Linked DNA regions of Cricetulus griseus. The protein of the gene in region 3 purifies or fractionates together with the protein of the main gene of each other region. This does not show direct contact. Links are inferred from orthologs where the notes say so. Each region holds a gene or a part of one and is shown on either strand. Other genes may lie near its edges.

Region 1 (5,085 bases), about 200 Mb from region 3:
ACAAACTCAATCTGGCCAGCTTTCAGCACTTCCCTGTGTTCTGACCTCACTGCTTTTATTTCCTCATCAAGACAGCAGCTCCTTTTCATCTTAGGGCTTTCCACTAGCCCTTCTCACTGCTTGGAGCAGGATTCTCTGTTTTTCTTTTATGGCTCATCCTCTTAGTCTCCAGGTCTCAGCTCTCATTTGACCCTTTCAGAAAACCCTTCCCAAAGCATGCTGCCTATAGTAAATTCCCAAGCCAGGTGTGGTGACCTGAGCTTGTAATTTAGGAGGCTAAGACAGAAAGATCACAAGTTCAAAGTCAGCCCATGCCACACATCGAGATCTTAAAAAAAAAAAAAAAAGTATAATCAAAAAGTAGATTCCCTGTTATTACCTTGTCTTGTTATTTTTCCTTCATTGGACTTTTGTTATGTTTTGTTTGTATGTGTATTTATGTATGGTCAAGGATGTACACATACACGCATAATAATTAATAGTGATGATGATGAAATACAACTTTAAGTAAAAACAACAAGAACTGAAGGAACCGGCTTCCCTTTTGGCAGCCATAACAGCCGAACACGTGCTTGCCATAAACCTGCCTTGGTCACTTAGAGGTCAGATGCCTGTCTCGTGACAAGGAATCTTAGTCAATTAGAGGTCAGATGCCTGTCTTGTGACAAGGAACCAATCAGAAGTTAGCTGGTGGCGCTATGCTTTACGACCCTGGGTGTGCTTTACGGACAAGCGCACGACAATGACGTAGAGAGCATAGCAACTACCCTGGGAGGGCCTATGGGCCATAATTGACCAACACAGGGCAAGCCCTCCAAGCCTGGAAGCACACCAATCGTGAGCCTGTGCGTAAGCCTGTGCGTACCCCTAGACACTCCCCTTACGCTGCCCTATAAGATCTTTTGGGAGACCCAAGGAGCCGTCTTTTCTAGCCGTCCGCCATGGCGGGTGGGTGAAAGACCCGAGCTAACATGGGGTTAGTTCGTTAAATTACAATAAAGCCTCGTGCAGTTTGCAGCAAGCTCTCGAATCCGCCTGGTGATTGGGGTGACCGCGAACCTGGCCTGGGACCCCGGATACTTGAGTTTTCGGGGGTCTGACAGAACAAGAAGGAAGGCAGTTCTCACCCATGTCCTCGTATGCTGAGATTAAAACAGCCTAATCGATCACAGCCTAGGGAATCAGCTCCACACTGAAAAAAAGAAAAACCCAGATGCTGCGGTAACATGGAAGATCAGAAAACCACTGTCCCTCCCTCACCAATTTGGGGAACTTATTCTTCCCTGATCTCTTTCCTCAAGCCCAGGTAAGCCCTCCAGGGAGGTGCTAACACTGTTACCTGAAGCACGATGCATGTAGGTTGGTAGAAGTCCACCACCTGGCTGATGACTGGCTGGAAGAGGTGCTTGTAACCTGGGAGAGGGCCAAAGATGGGCAACCTGGCACCCCAAGGAGATGGGGAGACAGGGAACAAAAGGAAAAAGGGGTTTGAGAGAGCATGTAGCCCAGGAAAGGGGAAAACTACAGAACCAACCATTGGTTCTGAACTTCTGGAAGGTATCACAACCTGCTATGATGAACACTAACAAACTTCTTCCCAGAAAAACTAATAAATAAATAAAAACACAGATGCGCATAATATATTGCATACAAATTCCAGGGGTTCATGGTCCCTCTGAAGGACATTCATCCTTAAGGACACCTGGCCCAACAATAGACAATACCAGGTAGAAGAGGTTAATGAAAGTGAAAAAGGGGGAAAGTGAGCATGGGGAAGTCATCAGTACTTACTCTGGTCATCGATGCCATCCCGTAAGGGCACATTGAGACAATAGTAGCGGCCACTCTCTGCTCCAACTTCATACATGTCACCTATAGATAAGTGGGTCCAGCAGTCATAAACAGTAACACAACTGTTCCTTCTGTGCCCTCTACCACATGCTCTCTAAGGCTCCAGCAACTTGCATTCATTCAATACAGGGTAACACCTATATAACCCAGGCTGGCTAGGAACCTATGTTGCTCAGGCTAGCTTTGAACTCTCATTCCCCCCTGCCTCAGCCTGCTGAATGCTGGGATTACAGGTATGTGTCTTCCTGCCTGGTTCATGCCTGGTGTCCATGGAGGTCAGAAGAGGGCATCAGATCTCCTGGAATTGGGAGTTACAGACAGTGAGCTGCCATGTGGGTGCTGGGAACAGAACCTGATTCCTCTGCAAGGGTAGGAAATGCTCATAACAGCTGAGTCATCTCTCCAGTCATCCCACCCCCCACCTTCCTTCCTTCCTCCCTTCTTTCTTTCCTTTTTTTTTCCCCTTTGAGACAGAATCTAGCTATATATCCAAGACTGGCCTCAAACTTAAAACAACCGTCCCACCTGAGCCTGCCTACTGGGAAAACAGGCATATGCCATCACATTCATTTCAACAAATATTTCTGAGGAAGTACTGTGTGCTAAGATGTGTAGAAGGCATAGGGGATATAGCAATGAATAGACCTAATGAAATTCCACCAAGCCCATACTTTTGGGATACATGATAAAGAAGGAGAATGTAGTGGTTTGAATAAGAATGACCCTCGTAGGCAATTTGAATGCTTAGTCATCAGTGAGTGGCACTGCTGGAGAAGGATTAGGAAGTAGCCTTGTTTGAGACATCACAGGGGAGGAGGTGGGTGGGCTCTGAGATTCCAAAAGTCCAAGCCAAGTCCAGAGTGTCTCTGCCTATGGTCAGGATGTAGCTCTTCACTACTGCGGCACAGCCTGCCTGCAGGCTGCCATGCTAGCCATTATGATGACAATGGACTAAACCTCTGAAACTGTAAGCCAGCCCCCATTTAAATACTTTCTTTCATAAGAGTTGCCTTGGCTGTGGTTTCTTGTCACACATAGAATAGTGACTAAGACAAAGAATGAACAAAAAAACACAATAAATGTAACTAGCAGTGAGTAAGTACTCTTGAGAAAAAGAGACAGGGCTTGGTACCTGTTTATTTAACTTAATGGAGTGATCAGAAAGGCTTCTCTGAGGAGAGCACATAATACTTAAGAACAGAAGGCTAAGGAGTCAGTCATGGCAAAAAGAAAAAGGACAGCCAAGTACAGTGGCACATACCTGTAATCCCATCATTCAGGATGCTGATTATAGAGGATTCTGAGTTGAAGGCTAGCCTGGGCTATAGAGCAAGACCCTGTCTCAAAGCACACACAAAAAGCTAAGGGGGGTACAAAAAGCACAGTGATCCTATGCCCTACCAGTTCCAGGAAAGAAGTAATTTCCATATTTGTGGAATGACACAGTCATGACCCGGTCAGTGAGGTAGAAGGCTTCCTGGACCCCATCACCATGGTGGATGTCGATATCAATGTAGAGCACCCGAGGGTGGTACCTGGTGTGAGAACAAAGCCATGGTATGGGAAGGAGTGAATTCCCCATCTTCTCCCCAACACAAGCTCTGGAATTGTTTAGAGTCTACTTCTGGCAGAGTCATTTGAAGACTCATCCCACCAAGTTTCCTCCAGGCAACCCAGGCCTTCACCCTAAAGGCCAGAGATAAAGAAAAGGGTTATGCAGAGGAAGCTGGAATGTGAGCGGGCAGCAGGGGACAAACTGTGGGGCCTAGCCTGTGGGGCCTAGAAGCCATCTGAGAAAAGCATCACAGACTTGGAGAAGCCGGTGGAGAAGGAGGGCAGGGCTGGGGCCAGGGCCTGAGGGACTTCATCCCAGTCTCCAAAGTCTCCCCTTTTCCTCCTGGAGTACTTACTTGAGCAGCTCCAGGATACCAATTACAATGTCATTAACATAGCAGAAACCAGAGGCCTGTGGGAGATAGTTTTATAAGCAGAGGAACAATTCTTCCACCCAGCTACCCCAACAGTCATTCTGACCACCTAACCTATGGTAGCCAGTCTTCCCCACTGCAGACTTACCTCAAACTTCTTGGCATGGTGTAGACCACCAGCCCAGTTGATGGCAATATCACAGATCTGAAAGACAAATACCCATTCAATCTTCTTCCTGCCTACCACTGAAGCCAGATTCCATGTCAAGGTTATATATGGTCCTGAATCTAGAGAACCACAGGAAACAGGACCAGGACTACTGACTAGGAGCTACATTACCTTGTTGTTCAGCTGTGTTGCTCCTTGAAGAGATGCGCCTGTGTAACGGGAGCAGAACTCAAAGAGCCCGGGAAACACTGGGCTGCAGGAAAGAGAGTGGGGTTACACCCCTCTTGCTATTGTCCACCTCCTTCCCCACTCAAACTCCAATTACCGCCCTCTAAAAGCTTCCTTCTCGTCCTCCACATCTGAGCCATCTTCAGATTTGTTCAACAAAGATTTTGGGCCAACTCTTGTGCAAAGCCTCATACAAAACATGATACAGGAATCATAAAAATGTTCAACTGCAGGGAGTTTGTATCCTACCTGGCAAGCAAAGCACACTGCTTCTAGGTTCTTGGGCAGACAAGATGTTTAACCATCTGTATCTTGATACCCTTATCTGTACAAAAGAGCCTATAGTAAACCCTGTTTGATAAGGGGTTGTTGCTATTGAGAAAATGGCAGCAAAGGATTTAAAACAGTACTTAGCACATAGTAGGTATTATCTAAATATTACAGATTAGTAGAAATAGCAACAGTAATTTTATTAATTTGAAATGTAAGGATAAACACCATAGCTGGGCATGGTGGCACATGCCTTTCATACTAGCACATGTAAGGCAGAGGCAGATGAATCTCTGAGTTCTCAGTCCAGTCTGGTCTATAGAGCTAGTTCTATATTCAGGGCTAGACAGAGAAACCCTGTCTCAAAAAAGAAAACAAACAAAAAAAACAAACAAACAAACAAAACAAACAAAAAAGATAAACACCAGAATAGGTAAAGGATAAAGTGGGAAGAGAGATTTATAGATGGAATTGCTTCTTTCCCAAAATATAATTTAGATGTGAAAATTAGATTACTTATTTTAAAACCAGTTTTTGTCCTTTGAGATGGAGCCTCAAATGGAATAACCCAGGCTGGTCTGGAACTTACTATGTAGCAAGACTAGCCTCAAACTTATGGCAAGCCTCCTGCCCCAGCCT
Region 2 (4,579 bases), on a different chromosome or scaffold from region 3:
TTCTACAATGCTTTTCCATTAGGCTTTTTATTGCCTTCAAGAGTGTCTTGCCCCCTGTGACAAAAACACCTGTGTTCCCAGAACTTTGAAGTTTTGAAGTAGCCTGGGCTATGTGTGACCCTGTGTCAGATAAATAAAAGCTCACTTTGTATCTTGAAACCCCAGGAGTCAATTTTTTTTCCCTTATGGTCGTGTTGAGAATTTAAAAAACAATGTTACATTTCATGGGGGGGGGGGGGAAACGACTCACAGTTCCCACCTTCTACCGTGTGGGGTCCTGGGGTCCAGGACTCCATCTTAGGTCTTTAGGCTTAATGGCAAGAACCTTAACCAGCTGAGCTATCTCATTGGCCCAGGTACCAGGGATTTTTAACCAGAAAATATAACTATGAGGGTTAGTTCGTTGTTGTTCAGCAGGTCCAGGTCAACCATATTAGAAGATCCCTAAGACTCATGTGTCAATTTATGTAACTTAAAAAGTGGAGACTACACAGACTGGTGTAGGCGACAAGCAGCACAGATAAATAAATATTTGCAGCCAAGCCCAACAACCTGAGATCCATTCCTAGAACTGACTCCAAGTTGTTCTGCATATGCACACACGTGCAAGTATATACACAAAAATAAGTGTATTTTTTTTTTTATTTCATTTTTTGAGACAGGGTCTCTCTGTAGCCCTGGACTCACAGAACTCTGTTTGCCTCTGAGTGCTGAGATTAAAGGCCTGTATTACTGCATTTTCTTTTACTATTGCTAAGCAGTATATCCAATCCATTCCCTTCCAACTAGACACAACATTTATTCTGGCTTGGTATCTTGAGTTGTTGCCTCATTCCCAGTAAGGAAAATTAGAAATGTGAGGGAAAAACAAAACCCCTAGGAGTGCCTGTGCCTGAGTGCACTAGAATGAAGGTACTCAAGTATCAGAGGTCACTTGTGGAGGCCAAAGGACCACTTTGGGAGTCACCTTTCCCTTTCCACTGTGGGGTCCAGAGATCATTCAGGTTGTCAGGCTTGTGTGGCAAGCACTTTTACCATCTTCTGATATATGTTGATTTGACAAGTGCAAATACCTATTTATTTACAGCCAAATCCTATTTGTAACCTGGAAAAGAAACTAAAGCCAGTCCCTATTTAACAATAGCTCTCTGGTGGAGGACAAGGGACTTGGGTTACGGATTTCCTTAAGAACCAAGCTTTATTTACATAAAAAAAGGAAAGGAAAAGAAAAGGGGGGGGGAGGAGACAAGTTTTACATAAAAGTACTACAATGGTATCTCCCTTTGGTAAAAAGTGTAATAAATGTCTTGTACATCTCTTTATAAGTACTAAATCTGAAGCCACATAGTCCTATGGTACACAAGAAGCTAGAGCACTTATGCTAGCACATCAAAGCATATTTCCTTTAATAAAAAATTGACAGTATATACATTATTTACAAAAAAGAAAATCCAAGTTAAAATGTGTGTGTCTGTGTGTGAGTGAAGCTGGTGGATGGCACTAGGGCAGACCAGTAAGAAGCAGGTACAAAACAGTCCACGGGGGCCAAAAGAGGACTGGCTGGAATTTGGTGAGGCTGAGAACCAGAAGACGGAGGAAGGTGGGCTGCAACGGCTCAGAAACCAAATCCACAAGGTATCAATCCCAAAGCCAAACAGCAGGTCTCAGACAAACTCTAACAGGGGATCGTAGATGTGCTCAAGTGGAGATGTGGTCATCAAATGCAGTCTCCCTGCAGCCTCTTCAGGGTAGAGAGAGGAGTAGTGACCATTAGTTACAGTCCATCTGTTTTATAAATGCACCTCCATCCATCCAAAGGGTGATAGCATCTGGTTGCATGTCTAAGGTCAGGTCACAGAAGTTCTAGCTTGAGCTCTGCTGGTGTGTGCAAGCAAGCTGCCGGTTCTCTGTGCTTGCATGGACTTCATTCCCTGTTGGGCAGGCTAGTACCCTTGGGAAAAGTGCCAGTTCCAGCTTTCTAAGGTGTCTGTCCACGGTCCTGCTTGGTGCCAGGTTGCACTGGTGGCTTGAAAGGCATCTTCCTCTGTTCTTCGGTGTGTAGTACACATGCCTACACACACACATACACACACACACACACACACACACACACACACACACACACACACACACAGACACACACCTCTGAGCTACCTGTGCTGGCTCTGCAGTTAAGGGGCTTTGAATACTGTGCCGTATTTGACACGATACTTGTTAATGCTTACAAAGTGCAGAGTCTCTGTGTCACAGGTGGTGGTGCAGGGCACCAGGCCCTCTAGCCCCTCACCCATGAGCCACTTGCTGGTCTCTGCTGCCATTTCACGAGGCACATGCTCCTTGGTCCATTTATCTACCCAGGCCTGGAATCGCTGATGCAGACGCTTGCTTACACGCTCATGGGACTAAAATCAAAGTAAAAGAGAGAGAAAAGATAAAATAGGCAAACAAACCCTTCAAACACAAAAGTCAATATTCATTCATTCATTTTAAAAAGAGTCTCACTATGCAGGTCTGGCTGGCCTCAAACTCAAGAGGTCTACCTGCCTATGCCTCCTGAGTGCTGAGACTAAATAAATATGCCACCATGCCTGGCTTACTTTATGAGTACAGTGGGTATTCTGCCTACATGTGCCTGGTATTTGTGGAGCCAGAAGAGAGCACTGGATCCCCTGGAACTGGAGTTACAGACAGTTGTGAGCTGCCATGTGGATGCTGAGAATTGAACCTGGGTCCTATGAAAGAACACAGCTAGTGTTCTTAACCACTGAGCCACCTCTTCAGCCCTGTAGAGTGCTATCTTTAAAAGAAAAATTAAAATAAGGCAGGTTGGCAAAATAGCTCAGTAGGTAAAGGTACCTGACACTAAGGATAATGACCTGTATTCCACCTGAACCAGTATGGAGAGAACTGACTCCTACAGCTTATCCTCTGACCACAACACTCTCACTGTGCCATGAAGACTCAACAAAAGCAGGAGGACAAGCCGGGCGTTGGTGGCACACGCCTTTAATCTTAGCACTCGGGAAGCAGAGGCAGGCGGATCTTTCTGAGTTCGAGGCCAGCCTGGTCTCCAGAGCGAGTGCCAGGATACGCTCCAAAGCTACACAGAGAAACCCTGTCTCGAAAAACCAAAAAAGCACGAGGACATAACATTAACACAAAACAAATAAATGTAAACAAAGGGGCCCCAGTAAATCTAACAAAATTCAAAGCTTGGCCCATTGAGACTAGTGTGACCTCACCTATCCTCACACCTGCACAATGTCTTTCTCTATAGCTCTTGCCCCGAATCACTGTTTTTATTTTCAATATATGCCAATACCTTTCCTTCTCCCCAGTCTGTCATCTAACATTTCTGCTGCATAGAAAACACTTCTCATGTAACTCTTGTTATTTAGGTCTCTGGTGTCCTGTATTAGAGAAGCCACCAAGGAAATCCCACATGTCGGTTTCCTTGACCCTTTTATTTCCTCATTTGCCCAAGTTTGGGGCAGTATCCTAGCGCCTGCTGCAAGTACAAGTGAGACAGCCCTTGAAAACAGAGTTCTCACAAACAAAAGATGAGAAACTGTCTGAAAGGTAAACACTCAGAGCAGCTTTTTCAGAAAGTAACACCAGGTGTTTACCAGCTCTTGGAGGTTAAACTATAGCCCATACTCTGAAGCCTTCACCCCATACATCCATCCTTCAAAATGACATTTATTCAGACAGACAAGAGAAAAGCCATGAGTCACCCAGGAATACTAAAAGAGCACAGCAGCAACAGCTATTCTCCCCCTTAGGGGCCTCAATAGATTCCAACACATTTTGACATATAAGTCTTGGGGTTTTAAGTCTTTCTCAGAACCTCAAGATGTTGTATGTGTGGGAAGCAGGTATTTGGGGACAGTGCCAAGACCACCTTGGGTGTACTGGAAAGTGTTCTACCACGAACTACATATCCCCAGCAATTTTATCCTTTAAGTCATAATACTCTGTTACGAGATCCTTAGCAAATACAACTGCTTACATAGCAACTGTTTGTTCCAGGAACGGGTTTTTTAAAAAGGGAAATATACCAGGCCAGTGCAGTAGGACTTGGGAAATGCAGAGACATCCCAACCACCAGTTCTCACCTGATGAGCTCTGAGTAAAGCCGTTCTCCGGTACATGTAGTCCTCCGACTTGATCACATATACCATTTTATAGGAGTTCAGTTTGAACCTACACTCCAGCTTATCCAGGCTCTCTACATTTTCCATGGGCTTCTTGCTGTTTCCTTCTTTCCCTTCTTTCTCCTGTTGCTCTCGACCACGCTGACACTTTCGGATACGCCGCAAATTTCTACAAAGCAGAAAGCCCTTCAGGTTGAGAGACCATCTGTCTACAGATCCCCATGACTCTTACCAAATGTTCTTTCCTTATGTGCCTCAAGAATACGTACTATGATTTTAGATACACATATATAAAAATGTGCAATGCTTTCACTGATTTTATACATATAATTACTTGAAGCCTCAGCCTTGATCATACTATGTGTTATTCTCCATTTTTCACTTAACCTATTTCCAGTGCAGTACACAAATCTGTCTTGTTCTCT
Region 3 (5,673 bases):
TTCAGGCTCAAAGCTGAAACTCCCACACACTCATCTGACCACAGAAACCACAATTCCACCTCAACCAGGCCAATTCCACCTGATTCAAGCGGACCCTACCTCAACCAGACAGAAGCTACCTCACCTCAGTCAGACTGCCACAGAGCACAGCAGCCAAATGTCACCCGTGCATCGAGAACTCAGGAAAACCACTGACCTCTACACCTTCCCACCATGGGCTTGAAAACCCACCCCTTCCCACAAAGCACTCAGCTCACCCTTAGTTCAACAGAGTGCAAAGGCCTGTCAAAGGCTACACTGCCCTACAAAATGGTTCAGCACATCTTTGTTCCTTGTGCCCTCCTCCTCAGTTGACCAAAACTATTAAAATAAGCTTTGAAGGGAGTGAGGGAATCCTAGCATTCAGGCCGCTCCCCTCAGGACAAGCTAAGTTTGGGCAGCCATGGGTCCATAACTACCCAGACTGACAGCCCCTTCCTGCTGGGTGTTACCCACAGTTCATGCAGATAAGCTCACAACGTCCAATAGGGACTAAAGAGCACAGTCCAGACCAAACCCTAATTACAAGCTCACAGTCAATGAAGCAGCAACACTGATGGCTGCACTGGGATCACCCAGGGGCTGGGAGCACCCCACAAACGGGAAACAGCCCCACTAGTCCCTCGTCATGTAAGCACTCAGGAGCTGGCCAAAGTATAGGAACCCAAGCTGATGCCACCACTGCTTCAGTGGTGCTGGAGACACAAATCACTCGAGAAATGTCTCTTCACTCAGCAGATGAGGCGTCAGACCATTGCCAGGGTGGCTATCAAGGGAAGGGCAGCTACAAACCACGGCGGAAACGACCCAGGCACATGACCATGGCTCAGTGCACTATCCTGTCTTCTAACCCCATAGTGCTGGCACGAGCATCTGAGCCACCTCCTCTGAGCCCAAAGACCCCACACCAGAATCACCAAGCTTGTAAACAGAGAAGGCAGAAGTCTACTCCATTCAATAGTGGCCGGGACAAAGGGACCATGGCAGTCCCCTAAACCTGGATAGAAAGACCACAAACACACATGACCCAAAGCAGACAAACACAAACACAGACACACCCAACTCAGACAAGACTCCTTGCCTGCTCCCAAGATAAGAGGTGTGAATGCTTCCCAGTGGCTCATCCTCACTAGTCCCACATCTCTACAGTAGCCCCAGCAAGTCCACCAGTCGCTATATTCAAATGACTACCTCAGGCTACATTAGCTGACAAGGGTGCAGACAGCCCAGATAGGCCTCCACTGGTAGGACCCACATCAGCCTGCCTACTGCCAAGTCCACTTGAAAAGACCCGCCTGCAACCGCCTGCCATCATGCACTGCCCTAGCTGGGGCAAAAGTGCCATAGGACACACAGTATGTGCACACTCTCTGCAGCCCCCAAAGAATTAGGCAACGGTCCTTCTTCAGAGCCCCTTCCCCCCACGATTCTGACACTCTGCTGGAGGGGCGCCCAGAGAAAACCGGGCTGCAGCATCTATTCACAGATTTAGAAAAAAAAAAAAAAGTTTGATGCAATAGCTGAATTAATTAGGTCTCCCAAGAATAGCTGAGCCAATGCAGCATTCTGTGTGTGCAATTTAATAAGCAGGGATATTTAAAAGTTACAGATACTTAGGATGCATATGCAAAGAAACTTCCTCTGGACCCCAGTGAAAGGTTTTGGTACTAAGTGGCCAGGGTCATGCCAAGAAGATCCCACAAAGCCCGTGACGCACACACGGCACAGCCTAGGCAGGCAGGCCTCCACACCAAGTGCAAGAGCAACAGAAGGAAATGGGTGAGTCTAAAGAAACTGCATACTATCAGCAACTCTGAGTCAGAGAAGCAAGACTCTGCTACCATTGACCAGGCCAAGTGGTCCTCAAGGTGCACCAACAGGAGACTCTAGGGGCTGCAAGTGCCAAGTCTCTGCCAGGACAACTAGCTAGCTTCATTTTAGTGTCTTTGCCCCATGATTTAAACACAAAACAAGAGAGCCAGTAAACATACAAGGCGTATCAGCTGGAAACCACAAGAAGACATCCCTGTCATCAGAAAAAAAGGGGGCAAACTTCATTCTCATCTGTCAAGATCCCATGGAGATCTGGGCCATAAAGTCATAGCCTGGGTTCTTTCTCTTCAGGAAGTCCAAGCTCCCAGAGCTTGAGGCAGCCTTTCTCAGACCTTCAGAGCGTAGCCTATGTGGTCAAGGGCTATGTGTCCTGAGAGGGCTTTTTTCCATTCACTCTACAGTGCTCAGACAGCACCAAGGCGGCCTTATGGCCTTACCCACAGGAGACTAACTAGGCCCCTAATTTCCTGAAATCAAAACAACCCAAAGCCAAATAAGGTCGAACCAGGTGCCCCAACATTTAGAAGCCAGAGTGCCCAGCCCAAGAGGACCACCGCCTCCCCTCCTTGGACAAATGGCTTGCCAACCCCCAAGACCTGGAGACACTTACCCGGGGCACCCTCCGCTTGTACTTGTTGGCATAGTCGAACTTCTCCTTCACGTCGTCCAGGCAGCGGCCAAGGCGGGCCTGCTCCTCCTTGCCTGTGTAGTCCTGGCTCAGCAGGATGTAGGCCCGCCAGTTGGCTGAGTCGAAGCCCCAGTGGCAGGTCCGGTTCTCCAGGGCCTTGTGCGAGTGTACCACGAACTTGTGCGGCGGGTACATGAGGCGGCAGTCGAGGCACTGGATGCAGGCGGCGCTAGGACTGCTGTACAGCTCGGGCACCAGCAGCCCCTTGCACTTGCCGAAGCACTCGTGGTACACGCGGACGCTGCGCTCGCTGAGCTCCAGGCCCAGCGCCAGGCTGGCCGCCAGCTCCTTCTTGCAAGGCGGCGGGTAGGCGCCGCCGTAGAGCAGCGCGTTACACAGGCGCTCGGCGTCCGTCTTGGTGATGAGCCCGCACGAGGGCGCGGAGAAGGGCAGGATGCCCATGACTTTGAGGATCTCCAGCTGGTCGGCGGTGCAGCGCGAGCAGTAGATGTGCAGCTCATCGCACACCGAGTTGATCTGCTGCAGTGAGAAGTCGCGCAGCACCGAGTTGAGGATCTGCGGCAAGCACAGACGCTTCTCGCCTCCCACTACGAAACAAGAGATGGTCTCCCCTTCCAGCACGGTCTCACAGCGCTCGGTGGAGCGATCCGACGGCATGAAGAAGGGCCCGGGCAGTACGGGCGGCGGCGGCTGGATGGCAGGCAGGTGCAGCACGGGCGGCGGCTCCGCGGCAGTGGGCACCGGCGCCGGCACCGTGGCCGCGCCCGCCTCCTTGGCGCTCTCCTTCTTGTAGGCCTCCTGCGCCCAGCGCGCCGAGAAAGCGGCCGGGCCGCCCAGCGAGCTCATGGAGCTCAGGTGGAACTGCTCCAACGTCTTCTGCAACCCCGGGTGCGGCTGGAAGCCGCCCCGGCCGGCCGCCGCCGCTTCCATGGTGCGATCGGGCTCCCCGGGCCGCTCCCGTGCGCCCGGGCCCCCACGGCCTCGCCGCCGCCCCGCGCACCCCGCCGCCGACCGCGACCGCGGCCCCGACGCCCCCCGTCGCCGGCTCACGGCCGATCACGGCCCCGGCCTCGGCCTCGCCCGGGGCGCGCGAAGGCGAAGGCGGGCGGGCGAAGGGGTCCCGCCGCTGGAGCCCGCCGCCACCCGGGCCCGGCGCCACATCACGCGCCCCGCGCCGCGCCGCCGCCGCCGCCGCCCCGGCCCCCCGCGCGCCCCCCGCGGCTCTAGGCGCGGCATGCCCCGGCGCGCGCCGCCAACGCCAACGCCAACGCTCGCGGCCCGGGCGCTCGCGGGGCGCGCGCGGCAGGTGCCGGCCGCGAGGCGCGAATCGCCGCGGCGGCCGAGCCGAGGGGCCGGGGAGAGCGGGGGCGCGGGCGCGGGGCCCGCCGGGCCGTCCTCGCGCGGCGCGGCCGCGCTGCCCCGCTCCTCCCACCGCGCGGCGCCCTCGGGCTCGTCCCGCGGTGCTGGCCGGCCGCGTCGCGCCCGCCGCTGGCCCCCGCCGCCTGCCCGCCCGCGCGGCCGCCCGGCTCCCGGCCGCCCGCGCCCGCGCGCGCCGGCCCCGGGGCGGCGGAGGCGCTCTAGCCCGCGGCTCAGAGCGCGGCGGCGGCGCGGGGCTCGGCGCGCTCGGCGCACATCTTTCGGGCGGCTCGCTCCGGCTCGGACTGAGCGCCGGGAGCTGAGCTCACGCCGCCGCGCGCCCCGCCCCGTACCCCCGCCCCGCCCGCGCCGGCCCCGCCTCCCGCGTTGTTTGTTGCTGTGCGTCCGCCTCAGCCGGAGTGAGGGCCAGGAATGTGACCAGCTTCGGGCCGGCTCTTCCAAGAACGCGCGCTCCCCCTCCCGGGCTCGGTGGCGCTCGGCTACGCCCGGCCCGTACTCGGCCAAGCTCGGCTCCGTCCGCCCACAGTTCGACTCCGCTCGGGTCCCCCGGGCCGGAGCTCGGCCCCGCTCGGCCCCGCTCGGCCCCGCTCGGCCCCACTCGGCCCTACTCGGTCCCGCTCGGCCCCGCCTTGTGAAGGCCGCTGGAGGCGGCTGCAGCGAGGCGCCTGGGGCCCCCCTTCCGGCCGAGGCCGCTTCCTGCGCGGCTGGGAAGTCTCCGGTCCTGCTGACACCACGGTCTTGGGGCCCCGAAACCCACAAGGCCCCTGCCACAACCGCAGACCAGCTGAGTGGCGGTCCGCAGTAGATCTGCGCCGCTGCCTCCTTAGGTCCCGGGGTCCCCATTCTACGGAGATAACTGGGAAATAGCCTCCACTCCCCATACTGCTGGGCGTCGTTCTCTACAGGACCGGGACGCCACGCGACACCCCAGAGTTTGCACTCATAAAAAGGACCCCAGGTGCCCCCTCATGACAAGGATGCCACAAAACATTGGGGTCTGGATACAAGAGCGTCTCAAAGCACCCTAGCGTCTCCACACGACCGAAGTGCCTGGCCCCCTATGATAAGGACACCACAGCATGCATTCCAGGTCCCTGCATAAGGACACCACGAAATACTCAGGACAGGCTGTCCTTATGATGAGAAGATACGAGAGAGAGAAAAAAAAAAAAAATCCAGGTGCCCATACAACCGGAACCTCTCAAAGAATCACCCGGTGATTCTTCTCAAAGGCCTCCGGTGCAGAAGGACTGCCCAAAGCACATCTGGGTTTCCATGTGTAGTACTGATGCCACCTAATACACAGAGCTCCCACACCCAAGCGCCACACAGCCAGAATTGCAGAACCTAGAAGCTCACAGCATCCATGACCTAGGGATGCCAAGATGCAGAGGAGGCATAGTTGTGGAAAGTCCCTGGGTCACCGGCAGGCAAAATCCACCACCCCATGAACTGTGACAACCACCAGTAGTAGCTCCTGTCTAGTGGACCCTGTTCTGTGAGACGGGGACTTTAGGACACAAGTCTGCATTGAAGAAGCTGTGACTAGCAGCTATTGCCCCTTCTTGAGCCACCCATTAGCCAGTAACTTGGGCAGCAGATTCCTGTGATTCTCAGGCTGGCAGCTGCTGTGACCCTTACCCTTCAGCCTCCAGGACCGAGAACTAAATATACACCTGCACATCAGGTGTCCAGATTATGGCCAGAGTAAGACAACACCGCCTGCCCTTCAATGTATTGGTTGTACAATGGAATCAACATAGGACAGTCTTTTG

The links.
Region 1: the proteins of Ski (region 3) and Hdac3 purify together in Homo sapiens (affinity purification with western blotting; 4 studies listed by BioGRID and IntAct, with this or other methods). This does not show direct contact. The link is inferred for Cricetulus griseus from reciprocal best matches to the Homo sapiens genes SKI and HDAC3.
Region 2: the proteins of Ski (region 3) and Sin3a purify together in Homo sapiens (affinity purification with western blotting; 3 studies listed by BioGRID and IntAct, with this or other methods). This does not show direct contact. The link is inferred for Cricetulus griseus from reciprocal best matches to the Homo sapiens genes SKI and SIN3A.

The regions. Positions count from the first base shown.
Region 1 is NC_048595.1:199,694,995-199,700,079, reverse strand, and holds part of Hdac3 (histone deacetylase 3), read right to left. Parts: intron 4,202-5,085; coding exon 4,120-4,201; intron 3,985-4,119; coding exon 3,928-3,984; intron 3,818-3,927; coding exon 3,762-3,817; intron 3,387-3,761; coding exon 3,253-3,386; intron 1,873-3,252; coding exon 1,792-1,872; intron 1,414-1,791; coding exon 1,340-1,413; intron 1,193-1,339; coding exon 1,128-1,192; intron 1-1,127. UniProt on the Homo sapiens protein: Histone deacetylase that catalyzes the deacetylation of lysine residues on the N-terminal part of the core histones (H2A, H2B, H3 and H4), and some other non-histone substrates.
Region 2 is NC_048597.1:168,654,890-168,659,468, reverse strand, and holds the end of Sin3a (paired amphipathic helix protein Sin3a), read right to left. Parts: intron 4,324-4,579; coding exon 4,116-4,323; intron 2,403-4,115; coding exon 2,172-2,402; 3' UTR 1,380-2,171; downstream 1-1,379. UniProt on the Homo sapiens protein: Acts as a transcriptional repressor. Corepressor for REST. Interacts with MXI1 to repress MYC responsive genes and antagonize MYC oncogenic activities. Also interacts with MXD1-MAX heterodimers to repress transcription by tethering SIN3A to DNA.
Region 3 is NC_048595.1:1,091,558-1,097,230, reverse strand, and holds the start of Ski (ski oncogene), read right to left. Parts: upstream 3,650-5,673; 5' UTR 3,452-3,649; coding exon 2,483-3,451; intron 1-2,482. UniProt on the Homo sapiens protein: May play a role in terminal differentiation of skeletal muscle cells but not in the determination of cells to the myogenic lineage. Functions as a repressor of TGF-beta signaling.